Linked DNA regions of Callithrix jacchus. The protein of the gene in region 1 purifies or fractionates together with the protein of each later gene. This does not show direct contact. Links are inferred from orthologs where the notes say so. Each region holds a gene or a part of one and is shown on either strand. Other genes may lie near its edges.

Evidence for each region.
Region 2: the proteins of NOD2 (region 1) and XIAP purify together in Homo sapiens (affinity purification with western blotting; 3 studies listed by BioGRID and IntAct, with this or other methods). This does not show direct contact. The link is inferred for Callithrix jacchus from reciprocal best matches to the Homo sapiens genes NOD2 and XIAP.
Region 3: the proteins of NOD2 (region 1) and RIPK2 purify together in Homo sapiens (affinity purification with western blotting; 12 studies listed by BioGRID and IntAct, with this or other methods). This does not show direct contact. The link is inferred for Callithrix jacchus from reciprocal best matches to the Homo sapiens genes NOD2 and RIPK2.

What each region holds. Positions count from the first base shown.
Region 1 is NC_133521.1:8,640,257-8,643,756, reverse strand, and holds part of NOD2 (nucleotide-binding oligomerization domain-containing protein 2), read right to left. Parts: intron 958-3,500; coding exon 874-957; intron 652-873; coding exon 568-651; intron 1-567. UniProt on the Homo sapiens protein: Pattern recognition receptor (PRR) that detects bacterial peptidoglycan fragments and other danger signals and plays an important role in gastrointestinal immunity.
Region 2 is NC_133524.1:119,602,780-119,607,023, forward strand, and holds the start of XIAP (E3 ubiquitin-protein ligase XIAP), read left to right. Parts: upstream 1-1,444; 5' UTR 1,445-1,650; intron 1,651-1,894; exon of another isoform or gene 1,895-2,020; intron 2,021-4,056; exon of another isoform or gene 4,057-4,244.
Region 3 is NC_133517.1:37,391,664-37,395,692, forward strand, and holds the start of RIPK2 (receptor-interacting serine/threonine-protein kinase 2), read right to left. Parts: upstream 2,801-4,029; 5' UTR 2,508-2,800; coding exon 2,335-2,507; intron 1-2,334.

The sequences.
Region 1 (3,500 bases):
GGAAAGAGAGAGAGAGAGAGCCAGCCCAACCCAGAGGCCAGCTAGAGAGGCAATTTAACAGTGCCAGGTAGGAGAGAGAGACTCCAGTTGAAACTGGGAGACACTGAAGCAGCAGAAATGCAGACCCAGATGAGACTGCAAACCTTGCATGCTCTGAATGGTGAAAGGACCTTCTGGGAGTATTGCAGCCACTGGCTGCCACAGCTGGGGTGGCAAGTAACTGCGTATGCCTCCACCAGTGAGACAAGCTCAACATACATCGTGAAACTCAGTCACCCCAGAGAGCTGTGACACTCTTAGACACAGAAAAGGAAAGAGGACTAGAAAAACATTTTTGCCCTATGGGTTAAAGGTCAAAAGACAGGAAGCCCTCAGCAGGGCTAGTCCAGAGTTTACAGGGGAGATGATGGCAGTACACAGAACCCCTGCTCAAAATGACACACTGCCCCTACATTCAATCAGAAGGTCAGCAGCCAGTGTGGGCAGCACCAGGCCAAGACCAGACCAGACTGACTCAGCTGTTGGGCAAAAAATAGTTTCCAGGGAATAAGGAAAACTTGGGCTCACCTCAATGCCAAGAAGTTCTGCTTGCACGCAAGGAGCTTCGCCATGGAGTGTGCACAGCCGTCGGTCAATTTGTTATTGAACAGACTGTTCAGTTTCCAGAAGAGAGGAGACACAGAAGCAAAGCACACTGCACAGGGAGCACCCAATCCCAGGGTTGCCCTTCCCCTCTGGGCAGGAATCAACTGCACCCCCCCATCATGCAAACAGCCCCTGCCCCAGCCCATCACTCACAGCTACCCAGGCTGCATGACCGGGGGTGAGACCAGGGGACTGAGGGCCCAATGTCCACAGCCCAGGCTGACTTACGCTAACTTCTGCAATGGCTCGCAGTGAAGAGCATGTTCAATGAGCTTGCAGACGCCTCGGTCTGAGATATTGTTATCACGCAAACTAAAAGAGACAAGATAAATACATTTGAAAACGGAGCTGGAAAGACAAGAAAAAAATCTACAAATCTACAAAAAAGACTTTCATTCATCCCTGAAGTGCCAGCATCTGTGCTTCCAGGAAACCCTGCAAAGATGGAGCACCCCAGAAAAGTGGAGACCCCAAGGTCCCTGGCGGGGGAGGTGACGTGGTGTGGTGCTCTATGACAGAGACGGTCCAGGACGTAGGGCCCAGATCTGCCACTAAAGCACCCGGAATCCTAAGGAAATCACAGAGCTAATTTGAAGCAATGTTTCCATCTCTGCAAAAGGAACATGATAATCACAGCCTCACAAAGGGGACGATGGTGGAAAGGAGCTGATATATGGGAAAGGTACAGCCTGAACTAGACAGGCTACCCCTGGAGAAATTTACCATCACCTAGGCCAGCAGACAGTAGACCAGCTGGATGAGACCGGCCACAAATTTTGGAAACAGGCAGGCAGGCTGTGGCTAGTGCCCAGTCCTTAACCCCAGTGATAACACTCCCACCCGCCAGTCCCTGCCCAGCAAGCCTGGCCTGCCACTCCTCTTGGGGCACCATTCCCAAAACTCACCTGATCACAAGTTCATCTGAAAGCTTCCCTAAAATACAGATTCTCAGGCCTGTATCCTGGAGCTGGTGATCCAGTATGTGTCGGGTGGGGCCCAGGGATCTGTATATTTTAACAACTGTGCACATGATTCTTTATCTTCAGGCAAACCTGGGAGGCCCTGACTGAATATTAACAGCTCAGGCTCTGGAGCGCCTCAGCTGGATATTGTGAATCTGATCAGCCACTTACTAGTTATCTGTTGGTGTCCTCATCTATGATAACAGTATTATCAGCCTCACCAGGCTGTGTATATAAAGCCTTGTGAGCACCTGGTGCATGGTAAAAACCACCTAGAATCGTGATCGCTAGCCCTGGTCCCTATCCTTAGCACTGCCCGATAATAACACTATTTCATCCTCACGACAAGCCAGTGAAGCAGGTACCATTATTTTGTGCATTCGTGAGAAAGGAACTGAGGCACAGACAAGTGAAGTGACTTTGCCAAGGATACACATAAAGGCTTTGAGCCCAGGCAGCTTGGCTCCAAACCCCACTCCTAACCCTGACATGGTGCAGCTTCTCCCTTAGGGCCTCTTACGGCCACTTCTCTAGAGCAGTGATTTTTTAGACTGCAGGCTGTGGGACATGCAAACCATTTTGAGGTCCTGAGCAGCATTTCTAAAATACAGATTGAACAGAACAGAAGAGAGCACAGTGCATCAGAGTTCACAGAGCAAAGCCATTTCATGAAGCTTTGGTTTCACGTTTACACGGTGGTGGGTGTGCTCGTTCACTCTCTGTCTGTCTGTCTCTCTCTCAATCATTGTGGGTCACAGCCAAAAACTTTGAAACCCAACACTCTGGAGTCAGGAAGAGCCAGAGTGTAAAGAAACCTATGCAGGGGCACTGTGTATATGGGGTTTCCTAGAGGCTGAGGATCTCGGTTGGCATGGAAACACTTCAAGTGGGAGAGAAACAGGTTGGCACTGTGGGAGAGCCCTCCTCCTTCCTCCCTTCCTCCCTTCCTCTCTCTCTCTCTCTCTCTCTCTCACACACACACACACACACACACACACACACACACACTGCACTCACAGCAACCTCATGGTTGCTTCCCCTACCCTACGGCCTTGGCAATTTTAGTGTGTGTAGGGTGAAGAGCAGAACTTGCTCAAGGACAGTAATTGCTAATGGAAAACCAAGCTGGTTGCTGCTGACCAGTAGTTCTCCCAGGGTGAGACCACTTATATCAGAATCACCTGGGTTGTTTGTTAAAAATATAGATGCCCTGGGCCCCACCCCAAATCTACTGAATGGGAATCACTAGGGGCAGGCCCAGGAATCTGCATTTCCACAAGTGCCTTTACACACCACAGTCTGAGCACCATGAGCTAGAACCAGGCCATCCTCACCTTTCTCTGAAAATAGAGACAGACCCACAGGTTTCCCAGAGCCCTTCTGCACATCCTGGGAAGGGACATCCCTAACCAAGAATGGAAGATCCATTCCAGAATTCCAGGGATGCACTGGCCTATGAGGATCACACAGGCCAGGAGTGCCTGGTGTCTTGGGGTAAAAACTATGAGTCTACTACCCAGGAAAATGCACAATCTTATTTCTATCAGGAAAATTGCTCCAACAGATAGGTTTCCAAATTCCCACTCAAGTGTCATGATCCTCCCTCCTAGGGAAATAGAGTTTGGTGCTGGCTGTCTTCCACTTGCCTGGCCACATCCACTCTCTCGCTTCTCCACCCGTCTCTGGCTCATGGGAGGCTGATGTCTGAGGACTACTCCAGCAAGCAGCCCGCTTGGCCTCCCTAATGGGTCCAGCCAGTGGAAGACGCTGGCCAGAAGCAAGGATCGGGGAAGGGAGTTAGGGGCCAGCTGTATTCTTCCATGTTGCAGAATCTCAGGCAGCCCTCTCCTTACCTTCCCCCCAGGTAATTAGTCTCCCTCCCGCTGCCCCTTC
Region 2 (4,244 bases), on another chromosome or scaffold:
AGCCTCCCAAGTAGCTGGGATTACAGGCGCATGCCACCTCACCCAGCTAATTTTTGTATTTTTAGTAGAGACGGGGTTTCACCATGTTGGTCAGGCTGGTCTCGAACTTCTGACCTCAGGTTATCCACCCACCTCGGCCTCCCAAAGTGCTAGGATTACAGGCGTGAGCCACTGAGCCCAGTAGAAACAGAAAATTCTGTTATGTATATTTTACCACAAGAAAAAAACAGTGCTTAAAAAAAAGCAAAAACAAAAATTCGAGAAGTGCCACTAGAGTTCAGAGCATGAAGAGATTAACTTCAGCTAAGAAAATCAGAGAAGGCTTTGTGTACAGGCAGTCTTTTTTTTTTCCTTTTGAGACCGAGTCTCGATCTGTTGCCCAGGCAGGCTGGAGTGCAGTGGTGCGATCTCGGCTCACTGCAACCTCCGCCTCCCAGGTTCAAGCGATTCTCCTGCCTCATGAGTAGCTGGGACTACAGGTGTGCCCCACCACGCCAGGCTAATTTTTGTATTTCTAGTAGAGACGGGGTTTCGTTGGTCAGACTGGTCTCGAACCCCTGCTGGGATTACAGGCGTGAGCCACCACGCCCAGCCACCGGCAGCCTTTTCTCGAAGGCAGAGGGAGTAGTTGGAGCAAATTAGCCTAAGGCAGGAAAACTGAGAATGGGCGGGGCAGAAGGAGTAGTTCTGATTTATTAGAAGATAGGGTAGCGTGCCCAAGGGGAGAATAAACAGGAAACTAAGGAGTTTTTAAGAAAAGTATTTCCTCTCCTCCCTCCAAGTTCCCTAGTTGTGAAGGGAGGACCATAAGTATCTTGCATCACTTGATTTCATTTGAAATGAAATATTCAGAATCCATCATCTCACTATATTACCCTTTAAGATTCCATGTTCCTGAAACAAAAATTCCTATGTTGATCTGACAATCTTACAACGCATTTGAAATAAATCCAGGGTAGGACCAGCATTTTATGTTCACAGACTTCCTTTGTTTCCTGTCCATCTGCTTTCTTTTTCCTCTATTAATTTTCCATTCACTTCCCAATCTTAACCCCTCGCCATTCTCCCAGGGTCCCCCTTTCTCGTCATCCCTTTCATCCTTCCCTTCTTGGAAACAGATCCGATTCTAATCTCAGTTACTTTGTTTATTAGCCGCGGGATATTGGGATAGTTATTCCCTCTGGGCCTCAGTTTCTTTTGTAAAATTAAACCCCCCAAAACAGTGTTTATTTTACAGGGTTGCCAACAGTACAACAAAGAACAGGTTACATGCCTAACACAGTACCTGGTCTATAGTAAGAACTCAACATTTTTGCCCCTTCTCCCTCCTCTTTTCCGTCCTTTTATCTCTCTTCCCCTATTCCTCAATCCCAGAGCCCAACAGGTAAAAACCGTGGGAAAAACCGTCCTTGAGGCTAAAAGAAGAAACGCTGAGGCTAGGGGCGGAGACTACGAGGTGCTCACTGCGCATGTGCGCCCGCTAGGTCAGCTTCTGGGTTCCAGCTGGAACGCGGGTGGGGGGGGGCGCGGGTGGGGGGTTACCAGGGCCTCATTTTATCTTACTGCCCCCTTCCGGTTTGGGGAGGTGGCGGGACCTTGGCGGCGCCCGGAGCGGGTGCGGCACTCATCGAGGGACGCCCGGCCCAAAAGGTAAGTTGGAAAATGGCGGAGGGGGGGAAGAAGGAGGGGCTTTGCAGGGCAGGAGGCTGACCTCCCGGCCGGGGGTGGGAAGGACACTGCCCGGGCCGGGAGACTGACGGACCGCGCCCAGTATCTTTTTGAGGCCCTGACGTGGACGCACTTCGGGTTTCGCGACTACGGGTGTCTCCAGGGGATGGGCCGGCCAGTGGAGGCGCGTGAGGGAGACGAAGGGACTTCCGTTTCCTTCACCTAGGCTGGGGCCAGGCCGCAGAGCAGAGTTGGCTTTTCCAGATTGGGGCTTGGGCCGCGCCCCCTCCGGGACCCTCCCCTTGGACCGAGCCGATCGCTGCGGGCAGTTGGGGCCGGCTGTCCTGGCGCGGTGGGTACAGCTGTGTAGGCTTTCCCCTCCCCCGCTTTCCCTTCTACTCCTCTCCTTCCCTCCCCTCTCTTTTCCCCTCCACTCCCCTCGGGCCGGCGCTGCTGGGGAGGGCGGGAAGGCCGCGCCTGCCCGGCATGGGTGGCCCGGCCTGGGCTGCTTGCCCGGGTTCCCCGGACTGTCGACGGAAGGCGTGGGTGGGTGGGTGACCTCAGGCCCGCGTACTGCCTTCCTAAACCCTGTGACACCTAAGGTAAATTGAGGCAGAAAACTTTTTAAATATGATCAAAGGGATTTCCTCCCCATGTGATACCTGTGGCTTGTGTGGAGCAGGGTGGAGTGTGTCTGGAGGGGGCGTAAGAAACCGAAAGAATGAGGGCCAAAGAGCTTCCGGAAGAGGAAATTAGCTAGTGATTCTTTCCACTCTGCTTTCCCAGTCACCTTTCCAGCATGTTCTGTAAAACAAAATGTCAGTTTGACTTCGTTTCATCATTTTAACTCCCTAACACTTAAATTGTTTTCTTTTCGGGGAGGGAAGTGTTTCTTTCAAACTAAGCAGTAGCCCTCTCCACCTCCAAAAAAGGAAAAAGTCAATCAAAGCTTTGTTTAAAAAAAAACTTTCAGATTTTAATAATCTACTACTTTGCTTTCAAATATAATTATGTCGATAGTTCTGTCACAACTATACTTTGATAGTTTGATGACTCACAGAAATTTACTCTTGGAAGACTGGAGGTTGCAGTAGCGTTTCTTTCTTGTTATCTTTTTCCCCCATAATATTTATTACAGCCAGCGCAAGAGAACAATGTTACAGACGGCCATCTTAGAATTAAAACATTTTAGAGTTGGAAGGGATCGTAGTCAAACCCCGTCCTTTTACAAGAGCAGAAACAACTGCTTAGGAAGATTTTGTGGCTTGCTTAAGGCTATCCAACTAGTTAGATTAGAACCCGTGTTATCTGGCTTCTTGCCCACCACTCTTTCTGCGCAATTGCTCCATATCGCCTCCAGGCATAAAAATTAAATGTATTCAATTCAACACTCATTTCTGAAGAGTATAATACTTTGTACCAGTGACTCTGCCACCACTTTTCTATGTATTTCAACGTATTTAACATGCGTATGGAGTACTTGAGATTTCTCCCCACCCCCACATTCAAGAAGTGGCATCTGTCTGATTTTTATACACACACCTTCACAGGTAGGTACGTGTGTATACTTGCATTTGCTTAGTTTCTTGAAGGATACACAATAAAAAGGTTAACAGTAGTTATGAGGAAGAAGAGAGGTAGAAGACTTTTTGCTTTGCAGTAGTTCACATGACCTAATGTACTGTTTGAGTTTGTTATAAACTAGTATTGATTTTTTTTTTTTTTTTTTGAGATGGAGTCTCATTCTGTCGCCCAGGCTGGAGTGCAGTGGCATGATCTTAACTCACTTCAACCTCCACCTCCCAGGTTTAAGCAGTTCTCTGCCTCAGCCTCCTGAGTAGTTGGGATTACAGGCGCATGCCACCATGCCTGGCTAATTTTTGTATATTTAGTAGAGACGGGGTTTCACCATTTGTCCAGGCTGGTCTTGAACTCCTGACCTTGTGATTCATCTGCCTTGGCCTCCCAAAGTGCTGGGATTACAGGTGTGAGCCACCGCACCTGGCCTCTAGTATTGTTTTATAATTGAAAAGAAGTTTTAAAGTTCACACCCCCCCACACAAATATATATATATATCTATATAAGCAAGTATATACCGATGGTATGTGCACATTTATATACATATATGTATTTATACATAGCAGTAGTTTATACCATAAAATCCGGTATGATTCCAGCCAACTCAGCTGACAAAGCAGGCCTCATTATTGGATACTTACGTTTGTTTTTCTTGTATTGCTCTCTCCTAATGTAGATGGTAAAAATAATATGTTACTAGTTGTATATTTTTAGAAATTGTCCTAAGCTTCATTATCAAATAAAGTAGCAAACTTTAACACATTCAGAATATCAAATTTGAGTACTTGCTTTGGTAGCACACATTTTTTTTTTTAAACATGTCACTGAGTTTATTATAGAGAATGGTAACAGGAAATGGGATTGTACAAAGAAAAGAGTTGGAGACAAAACTGGATGAGGGTTTCACACTGGGTGTCCCATCCACAGGCCTCAGCAGTCCTGCCACGGATCTGCCCGATTCTTTCGCATCAGGAAGTTGATCTTGCGAGCCATTTCC
Region 3 (4,029 bases), on another chromosome or scaffold:
ATTACAATCATGGGACCTTAAAGCCTGCATTTTTTCTACCCTGTTGCTTGATCACAGAACATCACAGTATGAAAGTTCTTGAAGACAGATTTTTGGCAAGATTGAGTGAGTGGGAAAATTTTTTAAAAGCCAAAATATTTTAAAAATTGATTTTTACATTTTGAAAATAAAGGTGTAAAGTACAGCTTGTATAGTCACATCACCAAAATTAACTCAAAAATTCAATAAAACCTTATGTCATGTACAGGGTATTTGAACAACCAATTGGACTCATTACTCATAAGGGGTGGGAAGATTGTTGGGGAAGGTCCACTCATTGCATCGAAGTCAGGTTACAGAGACTGATTCACCAAACATTAAAATAAGAACATGTAACACTGCATAAACTTATTTTTCTTTCAGGTCATCCAAAAAAACAATGCAAACATTGTTCTCCATAGTCCGAAAAACACATGCATTTATTATTCCTATTGTGTAAGTGAGGAAAGAGACACCAGTGAGTCAACTGCATAGTATCGTCTAACACTCATACTACATAAATACTGCAATGATAAAATCTGAGGTAACAAATTGGAGAAAAGAATGTGATACAGTAATGCCAGAGTGTTTCACTGGTCTTATGGCTTCCTTGAAGACAGAATTAATTTCCTACCCAATTCAGTGAAGAATTTTAGACTATGAAAATTGTTCATGAGTATGGGAAGGAAATTCCCTCTTCACTTCTTTGTCCCCAAACCACACAAAGTTGAGATAAATTAAAATCTTGAGAAGCAGCACCCAAAATGGGAGGATCAATTGGTTTTTCAATACCTAATGGGTTCATCAGTGCTACATTTCCATATAGTATTTGCATAACTGGTTCTAACATACATCTGTCCTCTCTAACCACCACCTTTAAAAGTTGACTACAGGCACACATACACACTTGCCCAGCACTTGCTCCACAGAATGTAATGCCCAGAGTAAACAGACACCACACCTTGTATATCACTTAATCTGGATTATGACAGACAAGAAGTGGAAACAAGCTCTAGAGGTGTCCCACATCTGTGCCATTTAGGCGATCCAAGCCTGACAGTGAGAGACAATGAAGAAAAGCCACAGGTAGGTGAAAATCCAGTAACTGGCAAGGCGGAAGCTGAGGAATTTATCTGATACTGCATACTCACAGCTTCTGGCCCATCAGGATTCTGTGATGATGTATTTTCACATTAGATATAGGAAGAGAAGAGAATGTTGCAATCATGGATGTTAACTCACTAAGAGCTGAGTGCTGGGCCTAGTAAAATCCCTGTAGGAAATATACAAGACTAGTATCCAGACCATTGATTAACACAGTCACAGGTCTGTGGCACGAGGTTATAATATTTCTCTGAAAACAGAAACTAATATTAACTGTCCGTTAAAACCCGGACAAACTAATAAGTGAAAGCCATCTACAATTTTTGGCCATTTAAAAGTCTTTCGGTTCAATTTATTGTGGCAAAAAATGGCACACATTTCCTCTATTACAATCTTCCCTGTTAGAGAAACTGAGAGTGGGAGAAACGGAACTGCTAGTATTGAGTCTGACATAAAACGCTCCTGACTACACGTTCCTGAATACACATAACACACCACAAACAAAACAAAAACAATAAAAAGCAAAACATCCCAGATTCCAAAGCAGCACTGTTCAATAAACATATAATGTGAATACCACATACAATTTAAAATTTTCTCATGGCCACATAAAGTAAAAAGAAACATGATATAAATTTCAACATCTTATATTTAACCCAAGATACCAAATATATTATTTCATCATATAATCAATAAACAACTATTATAAAAATAAGTTCTTTTTTATATAAATACTAAGCATTCACACTATGGTAACACTTAGGTCACATTTCAATTCGGACGGGCACATTTCAAGTGCTCAACAGCCACCTGTGGCTAAGAGCGACCTCTTGGACAGTGCAGCCCTCACTATATATAAACACACATCAATTTCAATAAACACGGCTTTTAGAGTTAGGCAGAGATTGCTGATTTTTGGAGTATGGAGAGAGGACGCCTAGGAGCAAGAGGGAAGGAGAGGAAAGGCAACGGAGAGATGCCTGGAGGAACACGACTGCTGCATCTCCAGAGAGGCTGGTGCTCCCTACAGTGCCAGAGCTGGAAGGGTCGGTGCTCCCTACCTCCCAAGCTTGAAGGGTTGCCTAGAGGTGACGAGGTGGGGCCGGCCCCAAGCGGTCACTGCCATTTGGGCTCTAGAGCCCGTTTGTTTGGGGGCTTGGAGGGGTGCAGGAGAGTTGGGGGCTGTTCCCGGAAACCCCAGTAGCTGCCTACCTGTCGAGCAGCGGGGTGTGGATGTGCAGGTGCTTCACGGCCACCTGGACGCGCCAGTCTGCGTGACGGGCGGAGGACACAGTGCCCGAGGCGCCGCGGCTCAGGTAGCGCAGGTCGGCGAGCTTGTGGTAAGGAATGGTGGGCAGGGCACTGCAGATGGCCTCCCCGTTCATGGTCGCGGGCGCTCAGGCCGGTTCCGGGTGTGCCCCCTGCTCCGGCGGCTTCCAGGGCTCTCCCGCCACGCTCGGGGGCCCAGATCCGCCCCTGCACAAGCGAAGACGGCAAGATCCTTACTGCTCCGCGACACTAGGTAACGAGGCCTCCCATTCCCCAGGCGGCCCACGTTAGCCGCTGTTTCTCCGAACCAGAGCGGACTTCTTTTCTGAAGACTGGGGACAACGCCGTAGCGCCCCGGAGGAGCTTCCTCTCTCGCAGCTCCCGCCTTCCAGGGCGCGCGCCGCCGCTCGGTCCGGCCGTCCGAGCTCCTCCCTCCCCAAACTTCGCAGACGACGTCAGCGGCGGACAGCGAGGCGGGGAGAGGGGCCGCCCGCTTGTGGCCCTCCCTCCTGGCTCTCGCCTCGGTCTGCTGCCGGGATTCTCTGTTGGTTGGCGCAGCCGAGGCCGAGGCCGAGGCCGAGGGGCTGGGGCGGGCGGCCGGGAAGTGAGAAAGAGAGCCAGAGGCACTCCTTTTGTCTTCTCTTCCCATCCCCCAGGTTTGGGAAAGTTTTCTTTTGGGGAAAGCCCCTCTCCGGCCTGCTGGCGGTGTCGGATTGGTTAGCAGCCCCCACCCCCCATTCCCGAGAGGATTCTCCTACGGTCCTCAGGTCTTCCGGAAGTTGCCAAATCCCGGTGGTAGCGGCGTCCGGGTGGGGGCTTTATTAGGGGGCGGGGGGGTTCTGCTCTAGGAGCCGCTTCCGACTCTGCGCCTGCGCAGGAAGCGATTTGGGGCGTGTGGTGAATTCCGAGGGCTCCGCACTTGAGAGGTTCTACACTCACCTGTCCACCTGGACTCCAATCTTCGCTTCTTTCCAGCCACTTCAGGACTGAGAGGTGGATGATAAACCCTGTCATAGTAGAGCAAATTCAGGTGTTTAACACCTGTTACATGGGATCTGCCTTTCTCCTTCTTTCTTACTTCCATAAGTTTGTATGTACAGAGATTGAAAAATAACCTTGAGAGAGTCCATCCCTCTAACCCCAGGTAAGACTGCAAATAATTCTTTCTTATAAACCTGGGAGGAATGCAGTCAGTGTTTCATGCCAACCAAAAAAGACTGCAAACATTTTTCCATCTTTCTGCCTTAAACACCTTTCTACGTAGATGACTATTTTGTAAGGTATGAGTGCAAATGTTATATACAATACCAAGTCTATGCTAGGTGTTTAATGAATTCTAGAGCTTCAGTAATAAGGAATGACTCGAATAGATTTCTGCCTACAGAGAGTTAATGCTTATTGTAGTTTTGCATTACCTGAAATGAGAGTATCAATGTTAGGTTTTACAATAGTGGGAGGTTGTAAACAAGAGTGTGTTTCAAATGATCATTTATAATAAAATGTTCAGCACTAAATATTGATCTGATACTCTGTGCTTTACTGCTTAATAAGTTTTTTTGTTTGTTTGTTTTCCCCTGAGAGGGAGTCTTGCTCTGTCACCCAGTCTGGAGTGCAGTGGCACTCTGCTCACTGCAACCT